4 linked regions of the Astyanax mexicanus genome follow. The protein of the gene in region 4 purifies or fractionates together with the protein of the main gene of each other region. This does not show direct contact. Links are inferred from orthologs where the notes say so. Each region holds a gene or a part of one and is shown on either strand. Other genes may lie near its edges.

The links.
Region 1: the proteins of morf4l1 (region 4) and epc2 purify together in Homo sapiens (affinity purification with mass spectrometry; 5 studies listed by BioGRID and IntAct, counting the BioPlex papers as one, with this or other methods). This does not show direct contact. The link is inferred for Astyanax mexicanus from reciprocal best matches to the Homo sapiens genes MORF4L1 and EPC2.
Region 2: the proteins of morf4l1 (region 4) and ash1l purify together in Homo sapiens (affinity purification with mass spectrometry; 4 studies listed by BioGRID and IntAct, counting the BioPlex papers as one, with this or other methods). This does not show direct contact. The link is inferred for Astyanax mexicanus from reciprocal best matches to the Homo sapiens genes MORF4L1 and ASH1L.
Region 3: the proteins of morf4l1 (region 4) and gatad1 purify together in Homo sapiens (affinity purification with mass spectrometry; 7 studies listed by BioGRID and IntAct, counting the BioPlex papers as one, with this or other methods). This does not show direct contact. The link is inferred for Astyanax mexicanus from reciprocal best matches to the Homo sapiens genes MORF4L1 and GATAD1.

What each region holds. Positions count from the first base shown.
Region 1 is NC_064418.1:14,790,716-14,798,042, reverse strand, and holds the start of epc2 (enhancer of polycomb homolog 2), read right to left. Parts: upstream 3,049-7,327; 5' UTR 2,776-3,048; coding exon 2,623-2,775; intron 1-2,622. UniProt on the Homo sapiens protein: May play a role in transcription or DNA repair.
Region 2 is NC_064410.1:28,539,011-28,546,694, forward strand, and holds the start of ash1l (histone-lysine N-methyltransferase ASH1L), read left to right. Parts: upstream 1-4,672; 5' UTR 4,673-4,839; intron 4,840-6,517; exon of another isoform or gene 6,518-6,622; intron 6,623-7,684. UniProt on the Homo sapiens protein: Histone methyltransferase specifically trimethylating 'Lys-36' of histone H3 forming H3K36me3. Also monomethylates 'Lys-9' of histone H3 (H3K9me1) in vitro. The physiological significance of the H3K9me1 activity is unclear.
Region 3 is NC_064410.1:50,880,403-50,887,697, forward strand, and holds the start of gatad1 (GATA zinc finger domain-containing protein 1), read left to right. Parts: upstream 1-4,268; 5' UTR 4,269-4,546; coding exon 4,547-4,726; intron 4,727-5,939; coding exon 5,940-6,062; intron 6,063-6,140; coding exon 6,141-6,200; intron 6,201-6,281; coding exon 6,282-6,465; intron 6,466-6,550; coding exon 6,551-6,738; 3' UTR 6,739-7,295. UniProt on the Homo sapiens protein: Component of some chromatin complex recruited to chromatin sites methylated 'Lys-4' of histone H3 (H3K4me), with a preference for trimethylated form (H3K4me3).
Region 4 is NC_064416.1:24,296,843-24,304,948, forward strand, and holds the start of morf4l1 (mortality factor 4-like protein 1), read left to right. Parts: upstream 1-4,962; 5' UTR 4,963-5,107; coding exon 5,108-5,147; intron 5,148-6,700; coding exon 6,701-6,747; intron 6,748-7,551; coding exon 7,552-7,619; intron 7,620-7,774; coding exon 7,775-7,861; intron 7,862-8,106. UniProt on the Homo sapiens protein: Component of the NuA4 histone acetyltransferase (HAT) complex which is involved in transcriptional activation of select genes principally by acetylation of nucleosomal histones H4 and H2A.

The sequences.
Region 1 (7,327 bases), on a different chromosome or scaffold from region 4:
ATGGAACTATAATGTAGTAAGCAAAGTTAATACCTATATTGTAATATAAATTTTGGCCATATCACCAAATATTAGCCAATAAGTAATATGAGCCAAATACAGTACATACCAAATATAAAAAATAATGCAATTTCTTTATTGTGTAGAATTTTTGGCAATATTATTGTGACGCACAATACGATATCGAACACCCTACTATCTAAGACTCTTTATTTTCCAGTATAGCAACAAACATGATAAGTAACAGACACAATTTTGTATTAATAAAGGTCACACCACAGACCTAAGTTTAGGCCTGTCACAACAATTACTTTATTGCCCTGTCATACAATAAATGAACATGACCTAATGACAGTAATGATACTGTCTATTGTGTTTATTTGCTCACATAAATAACAGTAAACAGTATTGTAGCCAGTCATGCAAATGACCAGTGCTTTAAAAACTCTACCCATACACACAGTGTGGTCTGCAGTAGGTGAAAAAAGTATATGTACCAAAGTATGATTAATTTCTAATTGTGTTGTCTTTATAAAAAGGGTACAGTTGCTTTATTATGTTATAATATTACCATAATGTCAGTGGCATTTAACGGTATAAAAAGGATAATATTGTTTCACAATAATTTCTGGAATGATATATCAAACTATTCTTATCATGACACACCAGTATACAGCTATTATTAGTAATCTCCACATAATATAAAACTTTTAGACGTTAATAAAGGTCACACCACAAAACCAAGCTTCATAAATCACTGAATAAATCATTTACAAACGTCTCATTAAGGTTTTAATATCCAAAGAACAATATAACCTATATAATAAACCATTCGAATAAATAATTACAGGAAAGAGCAGGATGTTAGATTTAACCTACAGATGTAGGTGAAAAACAGTGAATTCATGCTAAAATAAAGCTTGAATTTCCCAACGCGCCATAATCTCAATTGCTAGCTAGCTAGTTAACCTAACTGGCTAGATATATATTAGCCATCTATCTACTTTAGCTTAGCTAGCACCACCATCAGTTTAATAAGCTATAGAGCAGTGTTGTATTAAAATGATCCTACAACCTTTTTACACACACGCAAACAACCAAATAGCGTAGGTTTTCTCGTAAGCATTAGCTAATAAGGATCCGAGTCTTTCCTTTTTTAGCTAAGCTAGCTAAGCTACAATAGTTAGCAACCTAGCTAGCTAACAATCCAAGCTAACGCTAACCAAAATAGCTAAATACATGTTTGTATGCTTAAATAGGTGTAATATAATGAATGCTTAATGGTGACAGAGCACCACGCAGTTCAATCATCACCTAAAATACTGCAGATTTAACTTAGCTAGCTAAGCTAGGCTAACTGTTGTGTACACGTTAGCTTAATCTAGCCTAGCCAGGCTTTGAAGCGGTGCTTTGTCGATTTGCGATACCTTGTCAAAACGTGCTACCATGGTGTATAATGTAGTTACTACCTAAGTAGTTAAAGCTGCTTAAATAAAACAGCCAAGTATAATTCTGAGAATAATTCAAGCAAAAGTAGGGCTGTTTACTTTCACCCAAACATCTAAAGCGCTGCTCCTTGCCTCCCTGCTTATTTATACATCTAGGTAAAGCTCTATTTCATTTTAACTGCTAATAATAACACTAGGTTATATTAGCTGCTATTTCACATTTTTCTTCATTGTAAATTTTCTAAACGTTTAACAAGTGTCTAAACTTTTTTAAATAATGCTTATTATTGTTGTCCTTGTGGTAATATTATTACTTTAACGGATATTATTCAAATTTACTTGCACTTAAACATCAGGTAAGCCACTCTGGGAACACATTACTGTGTGCGCGCGCATAAAGCAATACGAAGTCTATTAAAATGCGCAACGTTCATAGCTTTACTAGCTAAACTATATATTTACGTTATACAGCCTAAACCATTGTAGCTTAGGTTATCAGGGTGGCTAGCTAGGTTAGGTTAGCTAACGTTATAGACAACTAAGGTAAAACAAAATACAAACATATCTTAAAAAACGAGTACAAGCAAACTGAAATTGTGAAACTTAGCCGAGTAAAACTATTGAGGAATTACTATGAAGTTCTGTAGCTAAAATTTGTTAAAAACTGGTATTGTGTGCGCATGCGCAAAATGTATAGGAAGCACAAATCGACAGGTAGCGCAACTCGACGCAACACAGGCTCCGCTTTTCAAAACGCGCAGATGGTAACGGACCGACACTCTACGACGTGACGCAGCTAGCTACGCAATTCACGACTCGGCTCACGCTAAAGCACTAGACAAAGGCATACAAAGGCGTAACACAGGCGTATGTACGTACGCAGGACTACGTACGCACGACTGCGTACGCAGTTTGCGCAGAGCTCGTTTGCGTAAACCACCAGCAACATCACACAAAAAAAAACACCACACACAACGCCGCCCTCGCCATCTTCTCTCTACACTACGCATACAGCGTAGTATATAGCTAACTGCCTAGATAGCTCATGTTAACCGTCGCTTACGCAGTTAGCGTAATGACCGTTTGTGAATACCACTAAGAGCCATGTATCGCCACACACCCGAATATACCCGTGTATGAAGTGGAATAAAGGCGATTTAAAGCGATAACCTACCGATTCCTCCTCCTTCTCCATGCCCGTCGGCATCTGCGGGACCGCGCGGTTGATGGACACGCAGTCGTTGAGGTCCGGGATGTCTCCATTGCGGTAAATTGGAAGCGGTTTGGCGGCGTCTAGCGCCCGCGCTCGGAACGAGAGTTTACTCATGACGGTGTGATTTCACGCAAACAACACGACGCCGAGGAAACGCGGGGGGGGAAACGGGCCGCGCCCGCCGGATTCTCGCTCCGCCGACTCCTTCTGCCGTCGCCGTGCCGATCATTGACTCCCTCGCGTTCGAAGGCCGGCGGCCGGGGCCATTCCTGCAGCGGGGTTTAGTGGCTGCGCGGCGCCGCGCTACTCCTACTCGGGCGCTCCGCTCTCGGAGCCACAGAGAACATGGCGGACATGAACGCAATCCCGGCAGGCAGCGCGAGACACGGAGAGCGAGCAGCAAGCAGCAGAGCGCGTGCACGCGGCGGGTGCGGGTGCGCGCGCAGCTTCTCGCGCTCACACACAGGCACGAGCACGAGGACGCGCGCTCACGAGAACGTTACGAAACGCAAGCGGCCTGCGCGAGACGCAGGATTATAGTTAGCTATAGGCCCCCAAAACACAACAAACACACTGCATTTCTGCTTTACAGCGGATTTAAGGGCCACAGGCGAACATTACACACATTTATTCAGTATTTACAACCCTAACAATTTACCAATAATCTCCCATAATTAACACACACAAATCATGACCTAACTTTAGGCTAATAAACAAAAAAAAAAAACATGTAAAGACCACTTCAAAATGATCAGTTTCTCATTTTTATAGGTATATATTTAAGTAAAATTTTAAATGAACATGTTTTATCCTGTGAACTACTAACATTTCTCCCAAATTAAAAAGTAAAGTCAAACAAGTTTAAAGAACATCTTTGTTGACTCCTCCTTTTCTATGTAATTAATTTGTCCCTTAATTGTAAATAAATAAAGAAAAATATTAAATGAGAAGATTATATATATATATATATATATATATATATATATATATATATATATATATATATATATATATATATATATATATATATTTTATGGCAAGCCAAACAGGAAATATATAATAAAAGCTGATATATATATAATGAAAGTCGATATATATATAATGAAAGTGATATGTATGTAATGAAAGCCGATATATATATATAGAAGGCCGATATATATATAATGAAAGCGATATATATATATAATAAAAGCCGATATATATATAATGAACTCTGATATATATATATATATATATATATATATATATATATATATATATATATATATATAATGAAAGCTGATATATAAATAATAAAAGCGATATATATATATATATATATATATATATATATATATATATATATATATATATATAATAAAAGCTGATATATATATATATATATATATATATATATATATATATATATATATATATATATATATATATATATATATATATATATATATAATGAAAGCTGTTAAAACCCTTTAAGAGGTAAACGGGTGGTCCGCACAGTCAGCCTGAGAGACTGAAGGTGGCGTTGTTGTTTCAGCCGGCCGCAGCTCCTCGCGCAGGGGAATCCGACCACCGGCAGGCATCGCGGCGCATTCTCTCCACAGAGGAGCGGCGCGACCGGCCTCGGACTGGCTTTAAAGTGTCAGGGGGCGAAGGTGGCAAAAAAGCTCCGGCCCGCGAGCTGCTTTCACCGAGCCGGGGACGGTCTACCAGTGTTCATTATATATATATATCAGCTTTCATTATATATATATATATATATATATATATATATATATATATATATATATATATATCACTTTCATTATATATATTACTTTCATTATATATATATATATATATATATATATATATATATATATATATATATATATATATATATATATATATATCAGAGTTTATTATATATATATATCAGCGTTCATTATATATATATTAGCTTTCATCATATATATATATCAGAGTTCATTATATATATATCAGTGTTATCCTTACTTCCTTTTCCTGATTATTTAATTTCCTGTTCCTGTTTTTCCCCCAAGCTAGCTGCTGTTGTTAAAAAACTTATGGAGTGTTATTTGTAACAATATCATATAAATAAATGAATAAAGAAATAATTGCTTAAAATGTTAAATAAATATTTAAAATGAGATTTAATTAATTAAAAAATAATTAATAATTAGTTTCCCAAATCCCTATATTTCCATATATATACATATATGGAAATATAGGGATTTGGGAAACTAATTATTAATTATTTTTTCCGTATACATATATAGGGAAATATAGGGATTTGGGAAACTAATTATTAATTATTTTTTCCGTATATATATATAGGGAAAATATAGGGATTTGAGAAACTAATTATTAATTATTTTTTAATTAGTTAAATCTCATTTTAAATATTTCCATATTAACTCCATAAGTTTTTTTAACAACAGCAGCTAGCTTGGGGGGAAAAATAGGAACAGGAAATTAAATCATCAGGAAAAGGAAGTAAGGATAACACTGATATATATATATATATATATATATATATATATATATATATATATATATATATATATATATATATATATATATAATGAACTCTGATATATATATATATATAATGAAAGCTGATATATATATATATTGAACTCTGATATATATATATATATATATATATATATATATATATATATATATATATATATATATATAATAAACTCTGATATATATATATATATATATATATATATATAATGAACGCTGATATATATAATAAACTCTGATATATATATATATAATAAACTCTGATATATATATATATATATAATGAACTCTGATATATATATATAGAAAGTGATATATATATAATGAAAGCGATATATATATATAATGAACTCTGATATATATATATAATAAAGGCTGATATATATATAATGAAAGCTGATATATATATATATATATATATATATATATATATATATATATAATGAAAGCTGATATATATATAATGAAAGCTGATATGTATATAATGAACACTGGTAGACCGTCCCCGGCTCGGTGAAAGCAGCTCGCGGGCCGGAGCTTTTTTGCCACCTTCGCCCCCTGACACTTTAAAGCCAGTCCGAGGCCGGTCGCGCCGCTCCTCTGTGGAGAGAATGCGCCGCGCTGCCTGCCGGTGGTCGGCCTCCCCTGCGCGAGGAGCTGCGGCCGGCTGAAACAACAACGCCACCTTCAGTCTCTCAGGCATATCAGCTTTTATTATATATATATCAGATATATATCAGAGTTCATTATATATATATATATATATATATATATATATATATATATATATATATATATATATATATATATATATATATATATATATATATATATATATATATCACTTTCATTATATATATATCACTTTCATTATATATATATCGCTTTCATTATATATATATCGCTTTCATTATATATATATCGCTTTCATTATATATATATCGGCTTTCATTATATATATATATCAGCTTTTATTATATATTTCCTGTTTGGCTTGCCATAGCTTGCCATAATATATATATATATATATATATATATATATATATATATATATATATATATATATATATATATATATATATATATATATATATATATACCTGCAGTCTGTAAGAGAGGGCAACATTTTATAGTAAATGGCCTTAATGTGCCCCTTGCTACCATTCCTAAAAAGGCACACACATAAATTGTAAAAACAGTGTATTTGACCTTTTTCTGGCCATAATAGCTTTTGCTGGTTACCTGAGCAAACATTGTTCTGCTATTGGTGCTGTTACAAAAGCTACTGCCAACATGGAGATACCATAACAGCAAAAATACTTTTATTCTGTATTTACAGCACTAACATTTCTCTCTCAATAACACACCAACAACATGTATAACTTTAAGCACTATTTTCACTATATTTTATTAAGTATAATGCAGAAAAATAAGATATGCCTGACAAAACACCTTTTAATACCCCTATGAAAATAACTAATCTACACATTTTTATATGTTTAAGGTATGCCTTATTTAAACATTAAAAGAATAATTCTACTGGCAAAACCCCACTCTGACATTAAAAATAAAACTAGCAAAGGTTTGGACAATATAGAAAATGTAAAAATAAAAAATAGATTTCCTTGTCATTACTTTATTTTAAAATCAACATTTTAGTGAATACAGATCAAACATTTCATGTCTATCAAACCTTTTATTTCTTTACAGTTGTCTAGTTTTTATGTCTAAATTCAAACATGCAGAATTTGTGTATGATTCTTCTTACTGATCTGAAATGATTAAGTGGAGTGGGGAGTGGCAGCTTTTCCAAGTGTCCTGTAGGAGAGTCTCTAAAGCCCTCAAAGTATTCAGAATGTAATTAACTTATTTCACTGCAGAGAAAAAGAGTTTTGTATCATCTACACTTGTGGCCCATACACATGATGAAGTGATTTAGGTGTTATTTTGTCCTATTCTTTAGGCAACACGTTTTAATATGTGCAACAGTATTCAATGTGTTAACATTACATACAATATATACTTACATTTTGCAGGCATGTCTATACTTTCAACAAGACAATGCAAAACCACATGCTGCATATACTCTACCTGGCCCCCCCAAAAAAAGATCCCACACACTAATATTTAATTG
Region 2 (7,684 bases), on a different chromosome or scaffold from region 4:
AATTTTGTGTTTTACCCCAGCTGTAACCCCACTCTTTACCAAATTTGACTTTCACTGTATTTTTGGTAGTTCCTAAAACAAACTTTTTATTTTGGTCTTGGTTAGTAGTGGATTTCACCTTGCAATTCACCTGCACCATCCTTTTTACTTAGTCTCGTAAATGTTGACCTTATTTAACTTGAGTAAGGCCTGCAGTGCCTGTTATGTTCGTCTGGGATATTCCGTGACTTGCTGGGTGATTTGTGACTGCACTCTTTGAAGAAGAATTGACTCTCTACTACTGTGAAGATTTATCATAATGTTCTTTTTTTTTTTATAAGGTCATAGGGACACTTTAGCCTACTTCAGATTGCCGAAATGTGTCCATTTCAGTGATATTACAAGTTTTGATATCATATACTTGAGTCATCTAATTACATCATTTGGAGTTACAAATCACGGCACATTATAATGACTGGCCTTTTTCATGCCCTTTTTAGCATTTATAGAGATATTTGAGTGTATAGATCTTTTAAATATGCTAAAAAAAACATTAACTGCAGGTTCTTTAAACCATTCTTTTTTGTGGTTCTTTTGTGGCAGCTATTGTTCTACGAAAACAAAATCTATTAGCACCTTTTGTAATACAATGAACTTACAAAAAAATATATCTAAGCTGATTGCTTGCATCTAGAAAAAGGGAGAAACTGTAAAAATAGGTTTTGGTGAGCTATTCCTTTAAGCTTAAAGTTTCTGCAAGTGGGCTGATGTCAGCATGCTTACAATTATATTTACAGAGATACACTTCATAGCTAGGATATGAGTCACAGCTGCATCATGTACCATCTGTGGCAGGATGAGGTCCTTACTGTTCTCATTACCAGCCTGTTTCATGGTTTATATCTTAGTGTCTAAAGGTGCTATAGTAAATAGTATTTACTTTGACATACAGTAGTTGATTTTTTGTTTTTGTTGTAACATATATATATAATGGTGCTATTTTAGTTCCACTGGTGAGCCTGCAGGACACCACCAGACTATAGATCCTATTAAATCACAGACCTTACATGCAGAAATCTGAAAACAATAAAAAACAATACATAAAAATGAATAATATTCCCTCTTTAAACATAAATTAATGTAGTGTATAGAATGTTACAGGCCAGTTTGTTCTGTTGAGTTTTGTTCTGCTATGCACTTTGAGATTACCAACAGCTCCAGTCACTGCAGTTAGACACCCCTGTCATAAACTATTGATGAATTATCTTTGACAGCTGACTGCCATAGGTTACAAAATGCTGGGACGCTTTACATTCCAGTCATCACAGGGTGCAGCCCAAAATATCCTTGACTCCTAAAGTAAGCTGCTGTCTGAAGCTTTACTGCACACCCTGACTGTTATGTCATTACATCCTCATAACATGAAAACATATATCATTACTACATATATCAATCCTGTCAGAACAAAAAAAAAAAAATATATATATATATATATATATTAAAAATTAGAATTTTACATGATAAAGAAAAATCCTGTAAAAAAAAAAAAATATATATATATATATATATTTTTTTTTTTTTTCGGTAAGTATATAATATAAAAATACTAATGATAATTATAATAAAATAATAATTTTGGAGCTGTCCGATTAGTGCATTCAATCATTACCTTTTTACACAATTGCATTCCTTTTAAATGTATCTATTTTTTTAAATGAATCTATTTTTTTCTTATAATTTATAATTATATTATAATTTTAGTATTATTTTTATCCCATTTTTTCCCCAATTTACAAGGCCAATTACCTAGCCCACTCATCAGGACTCCCTCGATCACTAGTGATGCCCCAACACCAGGAGGGTGAAGACTAGCACATGCCTCCTTCGGTACATATGAAGTCAGCCAGTGCCTCTTTTCGAACTGCTGCTGATCATACCTGTCAAGATTTTGTTGTAAAAAGAAGGGAAATGTTCCACCGCCCGCTTCTAGATGTCCCACTAGTCCAACCGAGGTTCAGTGTGTGTATATATATATATATATATATATATATATATATATATATATATATATATTTTTTTTTTTTTTTTTGGTCAATGGTATTGTCTGCAGTCAGAAGGAGTATGTATGATATTATACATAGTATGTATATATATGTATGTACATAGTATGTATGAGTATGTATCATCATAGTATGGTGTTTTTAGGAATACCCACTCTCTCCTTGCATCCATCCATCTCTCTGAATTGTCGTTCCAGGGTTGTTCCACCTGTCTGCACTAACCTCGTGAGAACTGCCACTTGCAGCAGCCTGGGTGACAGTTCTCACGAGGTTAGTGACATTTCAGTTTGGAGAGGCACAGTATGTTTTTTTATTTTTTATTATAATATGTATAATACTGGAAATTTACGGGAAAATACTAATACAGGAGGACGGCGGGAAAAAGGGCTAAATATGGTACTTTCCAGCCAAAAAGGGAAACTTGCTGCTGATCCAGAGTTGCCAAGTAGCCAGTGCACTTAGATGGAAAGCGCAGCAATTCATTTCCGATACATCAGCTCAAAGACCCCTGGGGCTGAGCGACATCACCCTTTTTAGAGTGATGTGGGGAGAGAGCACCATCTACCCACCCAGAGAGAGCAAGGCCAATCGTGCTCCCTCAGGTCTTTGGCAGCTGATGGCAAGCTACATGAACAGGATTCGAATTAATTGCATACAGACTTTTAATACATCCCAAAGGGTAGTAATGGGGTAAAGAGCAATAGTACAAGCATATTATTTATATGTACCATATTGTCCCAATTTTGGGTTGTAAAAAACATACAATAATAACTAATTCAGTGTGGATTTCAATGTTAAGGCACCAGAAGGCATTTTATTATGTCAACAGTCCAGGCTGCTGGATAAGGTCATGGTGTGGCGGTCATGGTCAATGTTTTCTTAGCACACTTTAGGCCTGTTTAAACATGTGCATCACTTCATGGCCACAATTTCCACAATCTTCTGATAGCAACAGAGTGACAAGCAACCATTCATTTTCTAAGGGGAAGGGGTGCAATTTGTAGCTGCGATTCTGCAACTAGAGGCAAGCGACAGTGCAGCAAATATAGTTGACTTTATGCAAAAAGTATGATGCTGTCAAACGACACAGTACACCAAACAAACAAATGGCCAAACAAATTCTTCCGACTAATCACAGATACAGGGTTCTGAGATCCCCACCCTCTGCTTTGTGAACCTTTGATTCCTACCATACTTTTTTCCTTAGTGGTGTGCTTCTGAACACAAAAGAAAGCATTATAGCCGCTGACTATTCCTTTCTTGTTCTATATGATGCCTTTTTTACAAATATAGTGGCAGTTTGGATAAAAGTAAAGCTTGGAAAAAGTAGTGGATAGCTTGATAGGTAGCTTGTAAGCATGATTACCGGCCATGCCACTACATGCCCACTCATGACAGGGCCAATACCCACAACACACCCACAAGAAACAAATGTGGGGCAACGTGAACAACTTATCGCCTGCCAACATGACCGCAAATTTAGCATCACAGCTCCAACCATGTCAAGGTTGGCTGCTGGCATAGCAGCTAACCCGCTTGAAACTTGCCGAGCCCAGCTGCTATGTCTGTTAGCATCACGGCTCCAAGCTTGCTGAGGCCAGTTGCTAATGTCGGGCATAGCACACTCCAAACCTTCCTAGCCTGGAGAAACAATTAAACCCAATGGAGGTCAGCGTACAGTGGTGCGGCTACCACATGCAATGTCAAAGTGCCTTAAGAGCAATGTTTGTTAGAATTGTCCTAATCTTGCTAAAGCCAGCTGTTAGCATCACGGCTACCCCACTGCAACCTTCTAAGGCTAGGAACACCATAAACTGACAACACACACAAACATAGAGAGGGTGCATTCTCTGCTCAGAACACATTTACAGAGCTCCACATCTTTACATTGACAGCAGTTGTTTGCTGCTATATTTATGTTAAAATGTCGAATTATACACCTTTAAAGGTGAATTAATGAATTAACGAATGAATCATCTCTGTTTCAAACTCGCCGTTAAGTGACACCCCTGTTTTACATGCAGGCTTTAAACACGAAGCTCATCCACCAAACCCCAAACAAACCCGCAGTCCAACCAGCAGCGTATCCACGTAGATCAACGTGTTCAGCCGCCCTCCGCTCAGCCCCGCCTCCAGTCTGCGGCGGCCAATAGGAGAACTCCGGGCTGCGCGAGCGTGAAAAACACACACCAACTGAAAACAGCGCTTTGACACAAACCTTCACGGTTGTGCCCCAACGACCTCGAGCCTGTGCGCACACGCGCACTTATTGGGCTGTTTATTAGACCGGTTCTCCGCTACTGACTCCCAGGGGAGTCTACACTGACTGTTTTTCACTGACTGAGTGTCAACGGTGGCACGGGGCGCACGAAAACACGACCCCTTCCACAGTCGTCCTCGGACAGGGCGGCCATCGCGCCTCTGTTGTACTTTGTGCAGCGAAATAAACACAAACAGTCGGACATTTTGTTTGTAGAGTCCGTTCTTTAGCTATACAACTGAAGGGAAAACGAGGAGAAAGTGGAAACACCAATAGCTGTATACATAGGCTATTGCGCCCTCCCTCCATCCACCATCCCTCCCTCATTCACTCACTCACTCCCTACCCCTCCTCCCTGTGTCTGCCTCCCTCCCCTCCCGCCGCTGACTGGGAGAATGCCCGTGTTGTACTGACAGAAACGATACGGGCTCAGCAGACATGGAGGCCCGATTAACGCCACAGGCCCGCTCGGACAGCCCTGAGCTCGACTAGCGCGGTCCCCGCAGAAGGAATACGGCGACATTTTGGAAACTTTCACGGGTAAACTACCGTCGGGACGAGCAGGAGGGAGAGGGCGCAGAAAGCGAGAGAGAAAAGGAGAGAGCAAGAGATCCATTTCGGGTTTCTGTTGATTCAACGCAGCCGCCATTTTGTTGACAGTTGGTGTTTTTTAATAACCTGTGCGGAGCTTTTTCCAAACAGCTCCCTCTCTTGTCACTGCGCTTTATTGTGTTTGTGCTCCGGGAGACGCCGGGGTGTTGTTATTGCTCTGTTTTGTTTTTGTCCCGGGTGCGCAGGAACACTTCGGGTAACCTAGGTTAGCTAGCGTTAGCTGAGCTAACCGAGTTGCACCACAGCGGGCGCCTCGTTTAACGTGAGCTAGCTGTTAGCAATGTAGAGTAACGCTACGTGCGGAACGCTCGCAGATATAGCCCGCTAGCTAACGCTAGCTAGCGAGCTCTCCGTGCCAGTCAGTAATGTGCCACTGACAGGACAGACACCTCAGCCCAGTTTCTAATCAGTGTTTCTGCTTAATAGGCTCCACTTTGAGTTTATTCTGCTATTTTTATAATTGGTCGTGATGTTGTGGAACATGTGCTTTATCGCATTCACTGCTTTTACAGCCACGTTGCTGGACAGCCACCCTAACCTACCATCACAGAGCGAAGCCTGAACCCTTAACGCAGCTAGATTAGAGAGTTATAACAGATATAATCTAGCTATGGTAACGTTACAGTAAAGTAATAAGCTGCTAACGCGGGATAAGCTAATGTTATTCGTCCTCCTTGCAAAACATAGAAACAACGAAAACGTTGTCTACTCGTATAATGAATGGCTTTGGGTTAGCTGTGTCCACAACAACACAAATGTTTAGCTAATCAAACGAAGCATTTGATCAACTAACCTAGCTAGCTATGTTTGGTGCTGATATCTAGCGTTAGCTAGCTAACGTTACCTTTCACTTGCCGTCATTTCGTTGGTGGCAGTTGACGTTAACATCTAGCGTTAACTAACGTTGAATATATGTTTTGGATGGTCATAGAAGGTTTAATACAATCTCGTTTGTTTTAAAATGTCTTATATATATATCCCCCAACGGTCTTAAAATGTCTGACATTAAATAACCTAGGTTACAGTTCTGTTATTTCCCGAATTTTACATGTAAGATTGTTTACAGATTTAACCTACCTAACCTAACTGCAGGCTGAATTAAAACGGTAGTTGGGTAGGTGAACGTTACTGTAGCTAAGCGGGGGTTGTAGGGAATTGTACATTCAATTCAAAAACCGGTTAGATAACCCCACTATTAGGCTGGGTCCCTTTCTCAGAATAGTTTCATTTTTGTTTTTATTGCGAAAGTGGTCCTCAATTATTATTAACGTGGTATTAAACGTCTGAAATTTAGGTTAGCTAATTCTCCACATATGCAGACACCCTGACCGTGAGCATCCAGTTAACCTAGCTAGGGTTCATGTCCCTCTAAAGCTCTCTCAGGCTGGATCACGCTGTTCCGATGATCCTGGATGTTGGTGATCGAGGCGAGCTGTTATCTAGTTCAGCAAGGATGATAAATGAAGAGGAATAAGCTGCGTTAGGTAGTTGGAGACGTTTGCAAGATTTGTGAAGACGTCTGTCTGTATCCTACTTGGCTGCCTGTGTTTGTTTTCTTCCACATTTTTGACCTTTTTTTCCTTTTTCCTTCTCGGGACTTCAACAGTTTCAACATCACTTTCCCAAGGGAACCATGTTGGTACGCACGCAGAGTGGATTTTGAGTGGATCTGAACGATGTGATCGCTGGTTTAGAAAGCGCTAAAATCACGGTGAGTTGTTTTTCTTTAGCTTAGCTACCCAGTTATCTTCTGCCATACAGTTACATTGGTGGTCCACACGGCTGTGAGTGAAATAGCAGTGTCAGTGTGTGTCTAATGCGAGATTTCAATGAGTCTCCATTCAAATCACAGTTTTAGCATCTTAGGATCCACATGTTTGTGTGTTGGTAGTGCTTTTACGACTTCCCAGGCTCTTGCCAAAACTAACGATGGAAGTCATGATGTAGCCAGTCTCATTAGAACTGCAGCGGGAGAAAAACGTGTAGCCAAAATGCCCAGCTTGCTGTGTTTTCATTCTGGAAGTCTGCATTCGAGATCCAAGATTTTTATTAGTCATTTGTTACAAGCAGCCTGTGCTGGAATTCAGACAGGCAGCTCTCTTGAGTTAACAACAGAGAATATGAGCCGTACTAAAAGTTCTCTGGGGACAGATGCCTTGTTTTGTAGTGTGTGTGTGTGAGAGAGAGAGAGAGAAAGAAAGAAAGAAAGTGAGAAAGTAAGTGTGTTAGCCACACTTCAGAGTTAGGTTAGATGCTTCTATACTCACTATGTTTTAAACTTACTTCTGCAATCCCCAAGTAACTGCGGTGAAGTGCTACAAGGCTCATAATTTCACGCCTAGTGTGTTTACACAGTGGTTTAACTGGTTTATTTATCACTCATTTACCACCGTTTCTTATTGACAAGCAAGGAAGTTGAAAGGGAAATTGCAAAGTGTTAAACAATGATCTGATTGTTCACCTGTCAGTGGTTTTGGTGCTTCAGTAAATGAAGAACAATTCATCCTGAAGGAACCTCAATTATAATGGGTCACTGAACGTGCACACTTGCTAGGAACCCTGTGGCTGGTCTGCATGTTAGAGGAGAGCTTCTTTTACTGACTGACCACTCAGCAGCTGATAAGGGAGAATCTGTCTGGAAACCTCTGAGCAACCCCTGACCTCTGACCCATGGAGAGGTTATTTGCTGCCAAGAAAGGAGGAGTTCCCACAGTCTACACCAGTGTCTGTGCCTCCTCTCCTATCCATTCCTTAAGCAGATAAAGACCAATGT
Region 3 (7,295 bases), on a different chromosome or scaffold from region 4:
CAACAATTTTTAGCATTGCATCGATGAGAGATTTGTGGGCCGATACAGAAACCCCATATTTTTTATGTACATACTTGTTGATCGAGATCCATATTCAGAATTTCTACTACAACTTCTTGGATTGCAGCTGCACAGAAATTTGTTTAAAATCATGTATAAATTGCAGACATTGCCATGCATTCTACTCTTCTGAAGTACCGTTTACACCAAAACCCCTCAAAATACATGCAAATAGTAGGAATAACATTAGGTTCAGTATCTTCTAAAGATGCACAGAATATTTGGCAACCAAAAATATTTGTCAACAATATTCAGCTGAATATTGCACTTTTGGTATTTGGACAATAAGTGAAAAGGGTGAGTAATTCAAACTAAACTGTGACTTATGTATTTTACGCTGTTTCAGATCACAATTATTAATATATTTTACTATTTCTTTCAGCAGCTGCACTTTACTGGATTCAACTGTTAGCTAAAAACTGACAGGAGGGCTCCCTATAGCCATAGGTTAATATGTCCATAGTTAATGGTCATTGGCCATACACTACAAGTGATTATGTGATGGTGATTGAAAACACTGGAGTATTCCTTTAAACTAGGGGTGGCAAACATACAGCACACAGTTCTAAACCGGAACAATACTGAAAAAAAATTAAATCACATTATCTCATTGTAATTCATTAGATCAGCTAAAAACAGTCTTCATAAATCACACATTGACACTGATCTATAGACATAAACAGGGACAGAGCAAGTTCACAGCAAAACCAACCAGAATCTCAATTTTACTGACACTTCACTAAGATAGGACCTGATGTTCTTCAGAAATGTTAGCTAGCACAGTTAGAGCACTGTTGGACCTGCAGGGTTTGATCACTGTTCATGAACTGCTTTATTGGGACCTGTTATAATACTAAAGCTCTAAAAGAGGCAGCAAGTAGAGCTGATTTTGTCAGTCAGCCACTATTTCACAAAATGACCTAATGCTCTATAATAATTAATAATCACGTATAACCATCAGTACTAAACGGAAAAAAAAAGTACGAAAAAAATGCAGTGTCAGGTTTCGATTAAAATCATTCCGAGTTCACGTTGGACATGACATTAGTTTGCCACCCCTACCACAGGGGAAAAAGAAGTGTATACACTATATGTACAAATGTTTTGGGACACCTTTGTTTCTTATGAAATCATGGGTAAATGAAAATAATATACCCTGCTTTCTACTAGAGTTTGTAGATTGCTGTGAGGATTTGATTGCTTTCTGCATTATCCACAACTTATTCCAAAAGTATTGGATGGAGTATGATTATTTCAGGCACATCTGGAATTAGGCATAGTGCCAGTAGGTTCATGTTCATTGGTCCTATTGGCAATACTTTACTATTGAGGACTAGACAAGCTGTGTGTGTGCAGTTGTACATCTGTGTCAGCTAGTAGCTAAATGCATTCAGTAAAAGGGGTGTCCACAAACATGTGGATTTATAGTGTAACAGAAATATGATATTTGTGTGTGAAAAGGAGAGTGCTAAGAAGCTCTAAATCGTATGATGAAAAATGTGGTTCTTTCTGGGTTCTTGTTTAACCTGTAGAGGAACCACAAAGATGAGGTTACAAAAACAAACCCATTTACCTGTGTGAATAGAAAGTGAGTTATACTACTCTTTTATTTATTTCTTTTTCAAAAAGAGAAAAATGTGCTAATGCACACTGAAAGATTTAAAAAGAAGTTTTAAAAATTAAAAAATGCAGTTTGCTTTATCAAGTACTGCAGTGATCTCAGTCCACAGGCTGACCCATGACCCCACCATCAGTCTCGCTTGCTTGCTTCATGCACTTGCACACAAACCTGTTGCACTTTGTTAAAAGAGACAGGTTTGCTTCAAATGACTTGAAGCCACTTCTTGACCAGTGCTTCAGGGCATCCCGGTGATGACATTGTGCCTACTTTTGCTATGAGCTGGGTATATACCCAAACTCATCATCCCCTGGTTGAAATGGTTGACTGCTTGACATTATTAAGCATTGGATTATTCTAGAAAGTCTGTAATATCTGGTGCACAGCTGGAGCCTTTTCCAATCGTGTCACCAGGGGTCACTAAAGCTCAAGAAGAAAGGTTGGGTGTAGGGATTTGGAGACTGAAGTTTGCTTTTCCTCTAAACACGCTCATTCAGTTCTATCATTCAGTGTGCCTTTTATGCCCTTCCCCTATATTGTCTGTGTGTTGCCACATTTAAGTTAACCTCTTATAGTGAAGATTTCATTCACTTAATGAAAAAAGTGATTAAAAGAGACTGCATTTTTTGTTACTCACTTTTACAATCAAAGCATTTTGCGGGAACATTTTGTATTTCCATGGGCCAACCATGTGTTAAATCATTGCTTAGATTTCTTTTACACTGGATTGAGTCCTGTGTTAGTTGGAATGTATACTCTGAAATGGGGAGTGAGAGGATTGAAAACCAGAGTTGCAATGTGTGTCTGACTAAATTGTCATTTAAAAATTACGTTGTGTTTTACTGTGATTAATTTCAGTGCCCTGGGTTGAATTAATTGTAATAGATTACAGACATTTTGCCTGGAAGAGTTATGAGTGTTTTCCTTCATTTTCATGATTCAGACCTCATTCAAGCTGTTCCTGTACATGGAAGTAGTCCATGTGATTTGATTGTTCTGAACAGACCACCACATGGACATTATTAACTACAAAGTACAATTTTTTCAAAGTAAAAACAAAATGTTTGTTTGGAAGACAGGAAGCAAACTTTTCCTGATGTGGTGTGGTGCTCACTTCACCATTTAAAAGTCTCTTTTAGGTATAAAACCATGGGTGTTGAGAAGTAAGATACCATAAGGCTAATCTCAGGTTCAGTGTGGGCCTATAAACCACAAGCATCACTATTTAATTACAATTTACCTATTAACTTGACCTGACCTTCAGTTTTCTAGCATATCAACCTTTATTAATAGAAAATAATAAAAATGAATCAAATAGTGTTTCAAAACTTGGCACTAGTGCTTTGATTGCACAATTATTGACTTAAGGCTTGGTGATGGCTTGAAACACTTTAACAGGATAGGGAAAAGTGCTTAAATTTTTTTAAAGTTTGCATTTATTAGATGACTGAAAGCTCGGGAGTTGATATGTACGAGGATGATGTGTACGTGTACTTTGGTACGCAATCAAAAATACCGCCCCCCCCTGCTGACATTCAACCATCTGGGTCTCACCACTATCAGAAGCACACTGCTCAGCCCAATCAGCTCTCTCTTCTTGCCCCACCCCTAAAACCCATACATCACCCAGTGCCCCTCCCAAACTGTCATTCCCATGTTTTAGCCTTTTTTAAATTTGAGCGGAGGGTGGAGTCAGCAAAAATCAGGGGGTTTAGTTTCCCTTTAAGCTAATGATGGTTAGCCTGGATTTTGCATATTTACCACTATGACACCGACAGGAATTTTAAATTGTGTTTACTTTTTGTTACAATAGACTAGGGGTGGGCAATTAATTTAACCAAGGGGCCACTTTTGTAACCAAGGGACTATTTTGTAGGGCTGGGCCTACTGATTGATCTCTATTTTGCTCAATGTTCATTTTATCTCTTTTTAAAAATCCAGTAATTATATGGTTTTCATAACACATTACTAATAAGATCTTACACTTAGGCGATAAAAATGTAAAGGCATAGTAAAAAAAAGTATATTATATAATTATTTAATTATGAAAGTGAAACACTAAAAGTGTTTTAGTAAAAGAACAACAATAAATTCAAAATATTCTTGCTATATTTTCCGTTCAGTTTCTGAGGTGGATTTGTAAAGGGCTGGATATACGGATTGTTGAAAACAAGAAGAAAAAATAATTTTGGTTAATCATATGTATAGAAAAATATCAGTTATGGAAAACTAGAACAGACTAGAATGACAATAGATCAAACTTTTGAATCAAGTAATATTGTTTTTAATCAAAGTATGAGAGAACGGAAGAGAAGAGGGACTTAGGACAAAAAAACAAAGCCAAAAGATTGGACTTTGTGAATTTTAAAAATGTAAAATTGTTACTGTTATAATATTTTGTAGGTAATGTTGTTGTGTTTTTTGTAATTGTAAAAAAAATCTAAACTTTTTTTTTCTAAATAAATTCTTTAAAAAATAGAAACGCAAAGGGGCAGATAATCTAATGCCCAGGTCTGCATTGAGTTAGTAAAGGGGCTTTTATTTTGAAGACGCCGTTGAACTCGGCCGGAAGAGGTAGCTCAGTTTGAGGACAAGGGGGGCTTTTATTCTGTAGATAATGGAGGACAGGGTTTGTTGTTGCAGTTCATTGTTACTAAAATTATTATTTGCAGGGTTTAGACATTTTCTATTAATTTAGGAATAAAGTCTACAGACTGGGAGTGTTTTGTGTATTATTTAGCAGCGTTTAATTGCGCTGAGGAGCAAACAGCTAGCGTTAACTAGCTATATCTATCTTTAATACGTACTGTGCGGCGGTGAGACCTGAGAGCAGTAGGTTAACGTTAGCTAGGCGGGTACAGAGGGAAGATGCCGCTGGGAGTGAAGCCGAGCTGCGCGGTCTGCAAAACCAACTCCTCTTCTATGTGGAAAAAAGGAAACCAGGGAGAAATCCTGTGTAATAACTGCACTTCTAAAAGCAGTGTTGCTGGAGGACCCGGGCTCTCCGTCTCTTCCACCACTCAGCAGAATAATGGCGGAGGAAAACAGGTTTCATTACACTTCTGTTTTTATTGATTTCTATGTTTCTAACCTAGGTTAGCTAGCAGCAGTATTTCTCGCAAATGGCTACAGATTTCTAAAGTGCTTCTAAAAGCAGCCTGAGCCAATAAGCGTAAGTTACTTGTTCCAAAAATCTACACTGTCAATTGGCTCTTGCAAATGCATGTAAATCATTCGATTCAAAATAGTAAGAATATCATTTAAAAGTTACTTTACTTTAGTAATTCAGTTAAAAACTTATGTTATATAGATGTATTACTCACACAGTGTTCTACTTTAAGCAGTTATTTATTTCATTGTTGATGTTTATGGCTTACAACCAGTGAAAACTCAAAAATCAGTGTCTCTTTATGTATAATATTATATAAGACTTGGCAGTGTGCCAAGTCCTGCTGAAAAATGAAAACCGCCTCTCCATAAAAGTTGTCACCAGAGGGAAGCATGAAGTGCTGTAAGATTTTCTGTGAAAACACTGCACTGACTTTGGACTGGATATAACACCAGTGGACGAACAGTGCACCAACTCCAGCAGATGACACGGCTCTCCAAACCATCATTGATCAGCAGTAAATTTTGCATTTAATTTAGAAATTAAGGGACCAGAGTCTGGAGGAAGAGTGGAGAGATACAGTCCAAGCTGCTTGAGGTCTAGTGTAAAGTTTCTACAATCAAGCAAGACTTTCACGTAAGCCATAATCATCAACAATAAAAGAAACAAATGCTTAAAATGCTTTTTTTTTGAGATGCACTAGTATATTGTTATGGCCCCCAAAATAATATCACAATATTTCACTGTATTTTTGAGACAATATGACAAAATATTATAAATATGTAATATTTTTAAAAATACGTTTTAAGAATTTGTACTGCAGCAAAACATATGTTTTATTCAGTTTAAATATAAGAGTTTCAAACTGCACACAAACAATTAAAAGTAAAAAAATTGTATAGTGGAATGTAATTTTGTGCATCAACATTTTTATGTGGATACTCCCCTCTGTGTATCAACCATTTAAACTTCTCCATTTGCTCAGTCGATGTTTTTTCAAAAGATTTACCCGAGTAATGTGTGAAAAAATAGTACAGAATTACATTTATAGGTAAATAACATTTAAATCACTTTCTGAACATCTCAAATGCATATAATCAGAGAATTTGTACTTTATAACAGCACTAACATGTTGATTCTGTTTCCTTCTAGTCTAAGCAAGAGATCCACAGAAGATCAGCACGACTGAGAAGTACTAAGTACAAGGCACCTGCATCTGAGAAGAAAGTCTCAACTAAGGGAAAAGGAAGGCGGCACATTTTTAAACTAAAGAATGTAAGTTCTATCCATGAACTTCATATATTATGCTTAAGTAAAGCAGAGTGAGTAATATATTTTTTTTCCCTCCCTCAGCCTATCAAAGCTCCAGAGTCTGTATCCACAATTATTACGTCAGAGTCAATCTTCTACAAGGTTTGACTTTCTAATCGACTTTTAAATGGAATTTCAGAAGCGACAGTTTTTCCCCAATTCACTTTCTTCCCTTTTCTCCAGGGTGTTTATTATCAAATAGGAGATGTAATAAAGGTAACAGATGAAGAGGACGGTAAACCGTATTTTGCACAGATTCGTGGGTTTGTTCAGGACCAGTACTGTGAAAAGAGTGCCGCACTAACCTGGCTAATCCCCACTCAGTCTAGTCCAAGAGATCAGTTTGATCCAGGCTCTTACATTGTTGGTAAGTTAATGTTGTATTCTCATTTTAGCAATTGATTCTTTTTGTAGCATTTTAAACATGACTAAGCAAGTATTTACCTTCTCAGGTCCAGAAGAGGACTTACCAAGGAAAATGGAGTATCTTGAATTTGTCTGCCATGCTCCATCAGAATACTTTAAGTCAAGGAGTTGTCCTTTTCCAACAATACCCATTCGCCCAGAGAAAGGCTACATATGGACCCATATTGGACCTACACCTGCTGTTACAGTCAAGGAAACAGTTAGCTGCAGTTAACTGTTTTGTTCAGCCTTGTAACCTGAGACCAATATTCAAATACGGAATAGAAGAAAAGATTAATCAACGATTCGCAACCAGGCAAAATGATGGACATTTTTACGATCATCGTGAATTGAGTGTGAATTTCCACACCACTGCCAGAAACGAATGCTAACAACTCTACTCTGCTATACAACAAAGCAGATGTCCAGTTGCTTGGTACTGTAAAATGACAGTAGAGAGTGGAACCCTGTTGTCTCTGGGGACAGAAGACTTGATACTTAATTGAAGTATTAAACAGTTGGAACAGTATCTCTGTGCAGACTATCTTGATGAAAACAATAATTTGTAAATATTGTAATGGACATATGTTTGTTAACAAAAATAATAAAAAATATGAATAAAATATAATGTGTCTGAGATCAGTGAATGATCTGTTAATAGTAAGGTTATCATTTTTGTGGAAAAAAAGTATTGGGACACCTGTAACTTTATGTACTGTAAAAATTTGATTGCATTTATGCACAAGAGCATTGGTGAGGTCAGAAAGTTTGATGATCACTGCCCCACCTCAT
Region 4 (8,106 bases):
AGATATATATTCAGTTACAAGTGGAGATCCTGCACTAAAAATCGTAAGTAAAATTATGTTAAGCTATGATGTTTATCACTATGAAAGAGATTTGAAAGCGTTAAATCTGCTGATTCTTAGCATAATTTAAATGATGTGGATTTTAAATGGTAGAGCAAGCGAGGGGAGATAATATATGACGATTTTTATAGCAGATATGTCTCCAGTGTTCAGGCACCGTATGATTTATAATAAAAATATTTAAAACGCAGCATATTAGAACATGCTCCTAGCATAAGTGTAGGTGGGCTTTTGGATATACTATATCACTGTGTTAGGATAAAGTTTAATTACGAGGCTGAAGTTGGTTTGATATTCGCAGCTCCAGATTCGTTTGGCTCGATATTCGCAGCCTCGTATTCCCCGGCTGAAGTTGGTTTGATATTCGCAGCTGCCGCTTCACTGAACCACCGTGAACTAAAGGGAGCGTTCACAAACACCCGCTGTTTATATTAAACACCTCACAGATCAACACTGAAGGAGATAGAATGAAGAAAAGCAGTACATCTGTTTATTAACAATGGAAATATACAATATATTATTAAATATAATTTTATATACACGACCTTTCATCACTTATTTTCTCCAGTTTTACTTACAACATGAATTTGCTTTTCTAGTGTAATTCATTCATTTCCTGAGTAAAAAATATCTGAAATAGAGATTTAGCCTCCTACTTTCAAGAAAACCTGGCATTATCCTGTCCGGAGCCAATTGTATATTGTAAAATATTTATTTTAATTACTGAATTTATAATTATATATTATAATAAGTAATAAAAATATATATTTAATAAAATTATATTTTAAAAGCCATTGCGCTCAAAAAATATGAGGCAGATGTTCAAGTGTGATTTTGAAGAACTTTTTCATGTTGGGCCAGAACAAATACACATGATCTGAAGAGTACTAGTCTTCTACTGTAAGAAAAACCTGGAATTAGCCTGGCCCAAGCTGATTTTATACTTTAAAATGAACTGCCAACATGGAATACCGATCCATAAAGCACAATTTTTTATGTAAAGCTGATGTTCCAGTGTGATTTTGAAAGACTTTTTCATCTTGGGCCAGACCAAATACACATGATCTGAAGAGTACTAGTCTTCTACTTTAACGAAAACCTGGAATTAGCCTGGCCCGAGCTGATTTTATACTTTAAAATGAACTGGCAACATGGAATAACGATCCATAATGCACAAAAAAATTGAATATAAAGCTGATGTTCTAGTGTGATTTTGATGGACTTTTTAATCTTGGGTCAGAACAAATACACATAATCTGAAGAGTACTAGTCTTCTACTTTAAGGAAAACCTGCAATTAGCCTGGCCCGAGCTGATTTTATACTTTAAAATGAACTGGCAACATAGCATACCGATCCATAATGCACAGTTTTTTTTATGTAAAGCTGATGTTCTAGTGTGATTTTGAAGGACTTTTTCATGTTGGGCCAAGATGAAAAAGTCTTTCAAAATCACACTAGAACATCAGCTTTACATAAAAAAAAATGTGCATTATGGCTCGTTATACCATGTTGCCAGTTCATTTTAAAGTATAAAATCAGCTTGGGCCAGGCTAATTCCAGGTGTTCCTTAAAGTAGAAGACTAGTACTCTTCAGATCATGTGTATTTGGTCTGGCCCAAGATGAAAAAGTCTTTCAAAATCACACTAGAACATCAGCTTTACATAAAACAAATTGTGCATTATGGCTCGTTATACCATGTTGCCAGTTCATTTTAAAGTATAAAATCAGCTTGGGCCAGGCTAATTCCAGGTTTTCCTTAAAGAAGAAGACTAGTACTCTTCAGATCATGTGTATTTGGTCTGGCCCAAGATGACAAAGTCTTTCAAAATCACACTAGAACATCAGCTTTACATATAAAAAAATTGTGCATTATGGCTCGTTATACCATGTTGCCAGTTCATTTTAAAGTATAAAATCAGCTTGGGCCAGGCTAATTCCAGGTTTTCCTTAAAGTAGAAGACTAGTACTCTTCAGATCATGTGTATTTGGTCTGGCCCAAGATGAAAAAGTCCTTCAAAATCACACTAGAACATCAGCTTTACATAAAAAAAATTGTGCATTATGGATCGGTATTCCATGTTGCCAGTTCATTTTAAAGTATAAAATCAGCTCGGGCCAGGCTAATTCCAGGTTTTCCTTAAAGAAGAAGACTAGTACTCTTCAGATCATGTGTATTTTTGGTCTGGCCCAAGATGAAAAAGTCTTTCAAAATCACACTAGAACATCAGCTTTACATAAAAAAAATTGTGCATTATGGCTCGTTATACCATGTTGCCAGTTCATTTTAAAGTATAAAATCAGCTCGGGCCAGGCTAATTCCAGGTTTTCCTTAAAGAAGAAGACTAGTACTCTTCAGATCATGTGTATTTGGTCTGGCCCAAGATGAAAAAGTCCTTCAAAATCACACTGGAACATCAGCTTTACATAAAAAATTGTGCATTATGGATTGGTATGCTATGTTGCCAGTTCATTTTAAAGTATAAAATCAGCTCGGGCCAGGCTAATTCCAGGTTTTCCTCAAAGTGGGAAAGTAGTTCTCTTCATCTGATGTGTATGTGTTCTGGCCCAAGATGAAAAAGTCTTTCAAAGTTTGCCAGTTCATTTTAAAGTATAAAATCAGCTTGGGCCAGTCTAATTCCAGGTTTTTCTTAAAGTAGAAGACTAGTACTCTTCAGATCATGTGTATTTGTTCTGGCCCAACATGAAAAAGTTCTTCAAAATCACACTTGAACATCTGCCTCATATTTTTTGAGCGCAATGGCTTTTAAAATATAATTTTATTAAATATATATTTAATTATTTATTGTAATATATAATTATAAATTCAGTAATTAAAATAAATATTTTACAATATACAAAATTATATTTAATAATATATTGTATATTTCCGTTGTTAATAAACAGATGTACTGCTTTTCTTCATTTCTTCATCTCCTTCAGTGTTGATCTGTGAGGTGTTTAATATAAACAGCGGGTGTTTGTGAACGCTCCCTTTAGTTCACGGTGGTTCAGTGAAGCGGCAGCTGCGAATATCAAATCAACTTCAGCCGGGGAATACGAAGCTGCGAATATCGAGCCAAACGAATCTGGAGCTGCGAATATCAAACCAACTTCAGCCTCGTCTTCAGCCTCGTAGTTTAATTAGAGTAAAGACATAAAAAAAGTTTTTTGTTCATTAATTATTTTTTTATTGTTATTATTAATTGCCATTTACAGTTTTGTGACATTCAAGCCAATAAAGGCAGTGATCTCAGGTATTTTAATGCGCAAGGGAAACAGAATTATCATGAAAAATAAATATAAAAAAGCTGTGTTCTTTGTTAAAATGCTTGATTAATCTGGAAAAAATAATATAAGTTAACCAAAAAGTCTCTAGACTTGGTATGTTTTTTCTCATTTTAGTCTATTTTCCTTACACTCTAAATTTTCCTGCACTTCTCTTTTGGTTATATGTCCCTTTCTCAGTGTTAAATCCATCCAGTCCAGTCCATCTACAGGCGCATGCGTGTACTTACAGCAAGCGTTTAAAGTCAGTGCCGGTGTTACAACTGCGAAGTAGCGCCCTCTGTGGTCACAAAACCCGACGGTCACAGAAAACGGTGTAACATCGGTTTATGGAAAGCTCTTGTCCTCCGTTATACTTTACAAAATAACTGCACACCGCTAGAGGGAGTCAATGAAGCCAATTAGCTAAAAACTCAAATAAATGAAAAATAGTAACTAATCACTTGTCCAGGACATCGCTTTAATATTATCAAGTAGTTTCAGACAGTAAAGACCTGAATAATTAGCATTACTGCTACTGAGTGCAGACTGGTTGATGAGCTGGTGCTGGAAATATGGAAATACAGTTAGAGCAGATTTTAAAATGCCCAGAACATTTGAACATTTTAAAGGACCATTTTCAGTATAAAAATGTATAAGAATGCATTGAACAAAGTCAATATACTCTCTTTCTTAACTGTTTTTATATTTTTAGAGAAAATATATCTTATGCATTTTTTTTTTTTTAAACAATACATAAAAAACCCGAATAAACTAATGTTTGGAATAAGGGTATCTTTTTAGCGAATATTCGTTTGTGTATAAAAATGTACCTAAACTTATAATTAAATTTACTATACTTGTAGTCAGATGAAGGGTCATCAAAAAAATACAATATATACTGGAATTTAAGAGGAATTTCCTTACCCAACCTCCTCTTCAAGTCTTAAAAAAGAGCAAGACAATACACAAGAAAAAAAGTGTTTAATGGACTAAATGTGGCTCCTTTACAAAAAACTCCTCACTTATATATATAAAAATACACAAAATAGCATTAACCGAGTAGCAAGGTTTAATATAGCAGTTATTTTATTTTATTATTGAGAACATATAATAAAAGTCAAAATAAAACGACTGTTTATCCTTTGTTGAGCTGACCATTTAAGGTACTTTTTAATTTGCTAAAATGATACCATTATTCCAAACTTTTGTTTATTCATATCTAAATAATTATATACACTCACTGACTAATTTTCGACTAATTAAAAAAAAAATCATAAATCCATCGATATTTTATTTGAATCCCACTTTTCTTTTCTTTTCTTTTTTGCTTTGTTTGTTTATTTGTGTTTTTGTTTTGATGTACTTGTGATGCTGATTGTACAGGATGTGTATTTGACCTATTATTGTGTCTATTTTAGGCTGTTGGACTGTATTGTCCTATTACATTGATTCAACATTGGGGTTTATATTTATGGTTTGTATTAAACTTTACTTGAATTTTATGTTTATATATACTGTAAACAAGAAATAAAAATAAGAAGCATATATGACCAGCAAACCATTGGGCTGAGTGGGGAGCGCCCTCTGGCGGTGAGATGAACCCGGAACACGCTCTGAATCGGTGCAGATCCTTGTTCCTGTTAGGTCACATGTCCAGGGCGCCAAAATAACGCGTCAACAGAGAGCCGTAGTGCGGCGCCTTCACCGTGTCTGAATGAACCCGGAGCTGGCGATGCCTGGATTTGATTTTCCAGATATTTTTATTGTTTAATCTGTGAATGGCGCCTAAACAGGACCCTAAACCTAAATTTCAAGAAGGTAAGAGCGCTGCGGGGCGCGCCGTGCGGGGCGCTGCTGCTGCTGCGGGGGGCTGTGCTTTTGTTTGTGCTAATGGAGAGAGTCGCACAATGGCGCTGAGAGGAGCTGAAACACAAACACAGACCCGGAGAGAACCGCGGCTCTCAGGGATCAGAGGACTGGGGTCCGGGGAGCGGACAGGGTTATCAGCAGGGCCGCGGGTCTGTCTGGTATCTGCGGTGTTTCGGGTTTAGATGAAAGCCTCTGGGAAATAAGGCGGGTTGTCTCTCTGTGTGAATATGACCTATAGCTAGCGTTAGCCAATCAGCTCTCCCCCTGATCCACTACTACTACTACTGCTGCTGCTGCTGCTGCTTCAGCCACCAACTAAACTCTAATAGAATAGCTTAGCTTGCCTTAACATAATATTATGTCGCTTTAAAGCTAATTACATTAGCAAAATATCATGTAAGCTATTTTGTTTTTACAAGGCTTTCCAAGCTTCCTAAAACATCACAAACCAAGCTTGAAAATGTGTGGAATACTGACATTAATGAATTCTTAGATGATAAATCTGTAATTTATTATAGAATAGCATAATATTTTTACTCCAAGTATGAAGATAAGATGTTTTCACATGGAAATGCTATTACACAAAATTCATTACAGTCCTTGCAATGTACATGCTTATGGACTTAATGTTTCAAATATGTGTTAGAGATTCTTAGTTATAAAATAAGTTTCTCCATATGTTAGTAAATTCCTTTATTTGTTTTGAAGATGTTTAACAACATGGTAGTTAGTTATAAGCTAAAAATAGCACAATAGCAGTCTTGGCAATAAAAGCCTGTTCATTTCCAAATGTGTTGCGACGTTTGTTACGAACATGCGTTTGTGGGACAAGCGGTAGAGCTGAGTATATGGGTTATGATAAATAAAAAATGGCAAATCCTTTCAATTAATTGTATAATGAAGAAATGGTACAAACTGGAAGTCCAACCTAATTAGCTAGCTATTAGGTTTGTTATTTGGGAAATGTATTCTCAGTTTACTTAAGCTACAGCTATTTTGTGAAGGCCTCATATGTTTGTTAGAGAACACTAGTGACACATGGTAGTTTAAGAAAGATTAGATAGCCCACTGTTAAATCCATCATCCAAAAATGGAAGTAATGTGGCACAGTTGCAAACCTACCAAGACATGGCTGTCCTGGCAAGAAGAGCGCTAATTAGAGATAAGAGCCCCATGGTCACTCTGGAGGAGCTGCAGAGATTTCACAGCTCCCTTATGGAAAAGTAGGCAGAAAAAAGCAATTTTTTTGAGGAAACCAAAAGAAGTCCCATAGAAGACACAGCAAGCAAATGTGGAATTGTGAGAGCAAATGTGCTCTGTTCAGCTGAGACCAACGTTGAACTTTTTGGATTAAATGCAAAATGCTATATGTGGCAGAACACACAACAATCCTGAAGAAAAACCTGTTAAAGGCTGCAAAAAAAAAGTTGTTAAAAGAAAATGCAGTAAGGGTGGCATGACCTGGCCTAATGTTGTCTTGCTTTTTTGTGCCTTTATTTCAGGTGAACGAGTGCTGTGTTTTCATGGGCCATTGCTATACGAAGCTAAGGTAACTTTTTCTTTATATTATTTTTCTTCGGAAAATCTGAATAGATAGATTGAATGCAACAAATTGTATGTGACCAAATACACCATTTACTGTCGTAGCAGAATTAAACAGTGTTTGTGGGCTGGTCTACAGCACAGTTTGTTGTTTTTCTTGCTCAAACACATTTAATTAAGCTGCTAATTGTAAATGTAATGCCTGGCCCAGACTAGACTATAGGATCTTCACACAATCTTTCACCAGTCTTTTGTCTTTAATCAATGTTAGTTGTAAACCTTCTCACACTACATGATCCACCCCGAATAAAAGCACCACACAGAAGTGGATAACAGCAAAACAATTTGTCAGTGCTTCCTGCTTAAAACAGTAGGTTAACACAATTTAAGTCCAACCTATGTAGTCTATAATCTCAGCTCTCTTGGTTGACAGTCTTCACGTTTCCCACCAGACAATCATCATCATCATCCTCACTCTAAAGGTTATTGAGTCATAAATACAAAAAATGTTTGCCACTTATGCCTCACGATTGGCACAGCCCCAACTTTTCTGGGAAAAGATCAAAAGATCAGAGAAAATTGGTCAGATTATCCTGTGGTGTGGGCCGGGCAATAACAGATTTCAGGTGGGATCAAACCAAACTAAGCTGAGCACCAACACAGACCCTGTCCTGAATATCTCTACAGCACCGATATTTCCGGGTGCTGCACCCCAAGTGTTGATCATGTCAGTAAATCTGTTTAGCCTGTTTAGCCATGTGCTTGAAGTTTGTGTGGAAAAGATTTACCTTATTGATCCTCTCTTTTACAGTGTGTAAAAATCAATATTAAGGACAAACAAGTGAAATACTTCATTCATTATAGTGGATGGAATAAGAAGTAAGTATTCTCGTGTTTGTTTTGATGTCAATAAGAGATTCTGCTGCAGTATTAGCAGATTGATTGTTAAAATATTGTTTATTTATTAATAAAATAATAATGCATTTTATTTAATAAGTATAAAGTGCTTTATAAATTTGTCCTGTTTTTTAAAGCTGGGACGAATGGGTTCCTGAAAGCCGTGTGCTCAAATATGTGGACAGTAATCTGCAGAAACAGAAAGAGCTTCAGAAGGCAAATCAGTAAGTTTCTTATGGCGCCAGCTAAGAACGGCAGAAAACGTATTTGTATTAATGTTAAACATTCAGTTCACATTAAGACACTCTTTTTTTTTTGTCATACCTCCTACACTTACATATAGTTTTAAACAAAGTATAAACATTGATTTCACTTCTTTTATTTAGATTATTTAGACTCTCTTTGTTAGATTTCTAACAATGGTGAAAAAAATAACTATTGTTATTGATGGCAGTCAAGACAAAAAGCT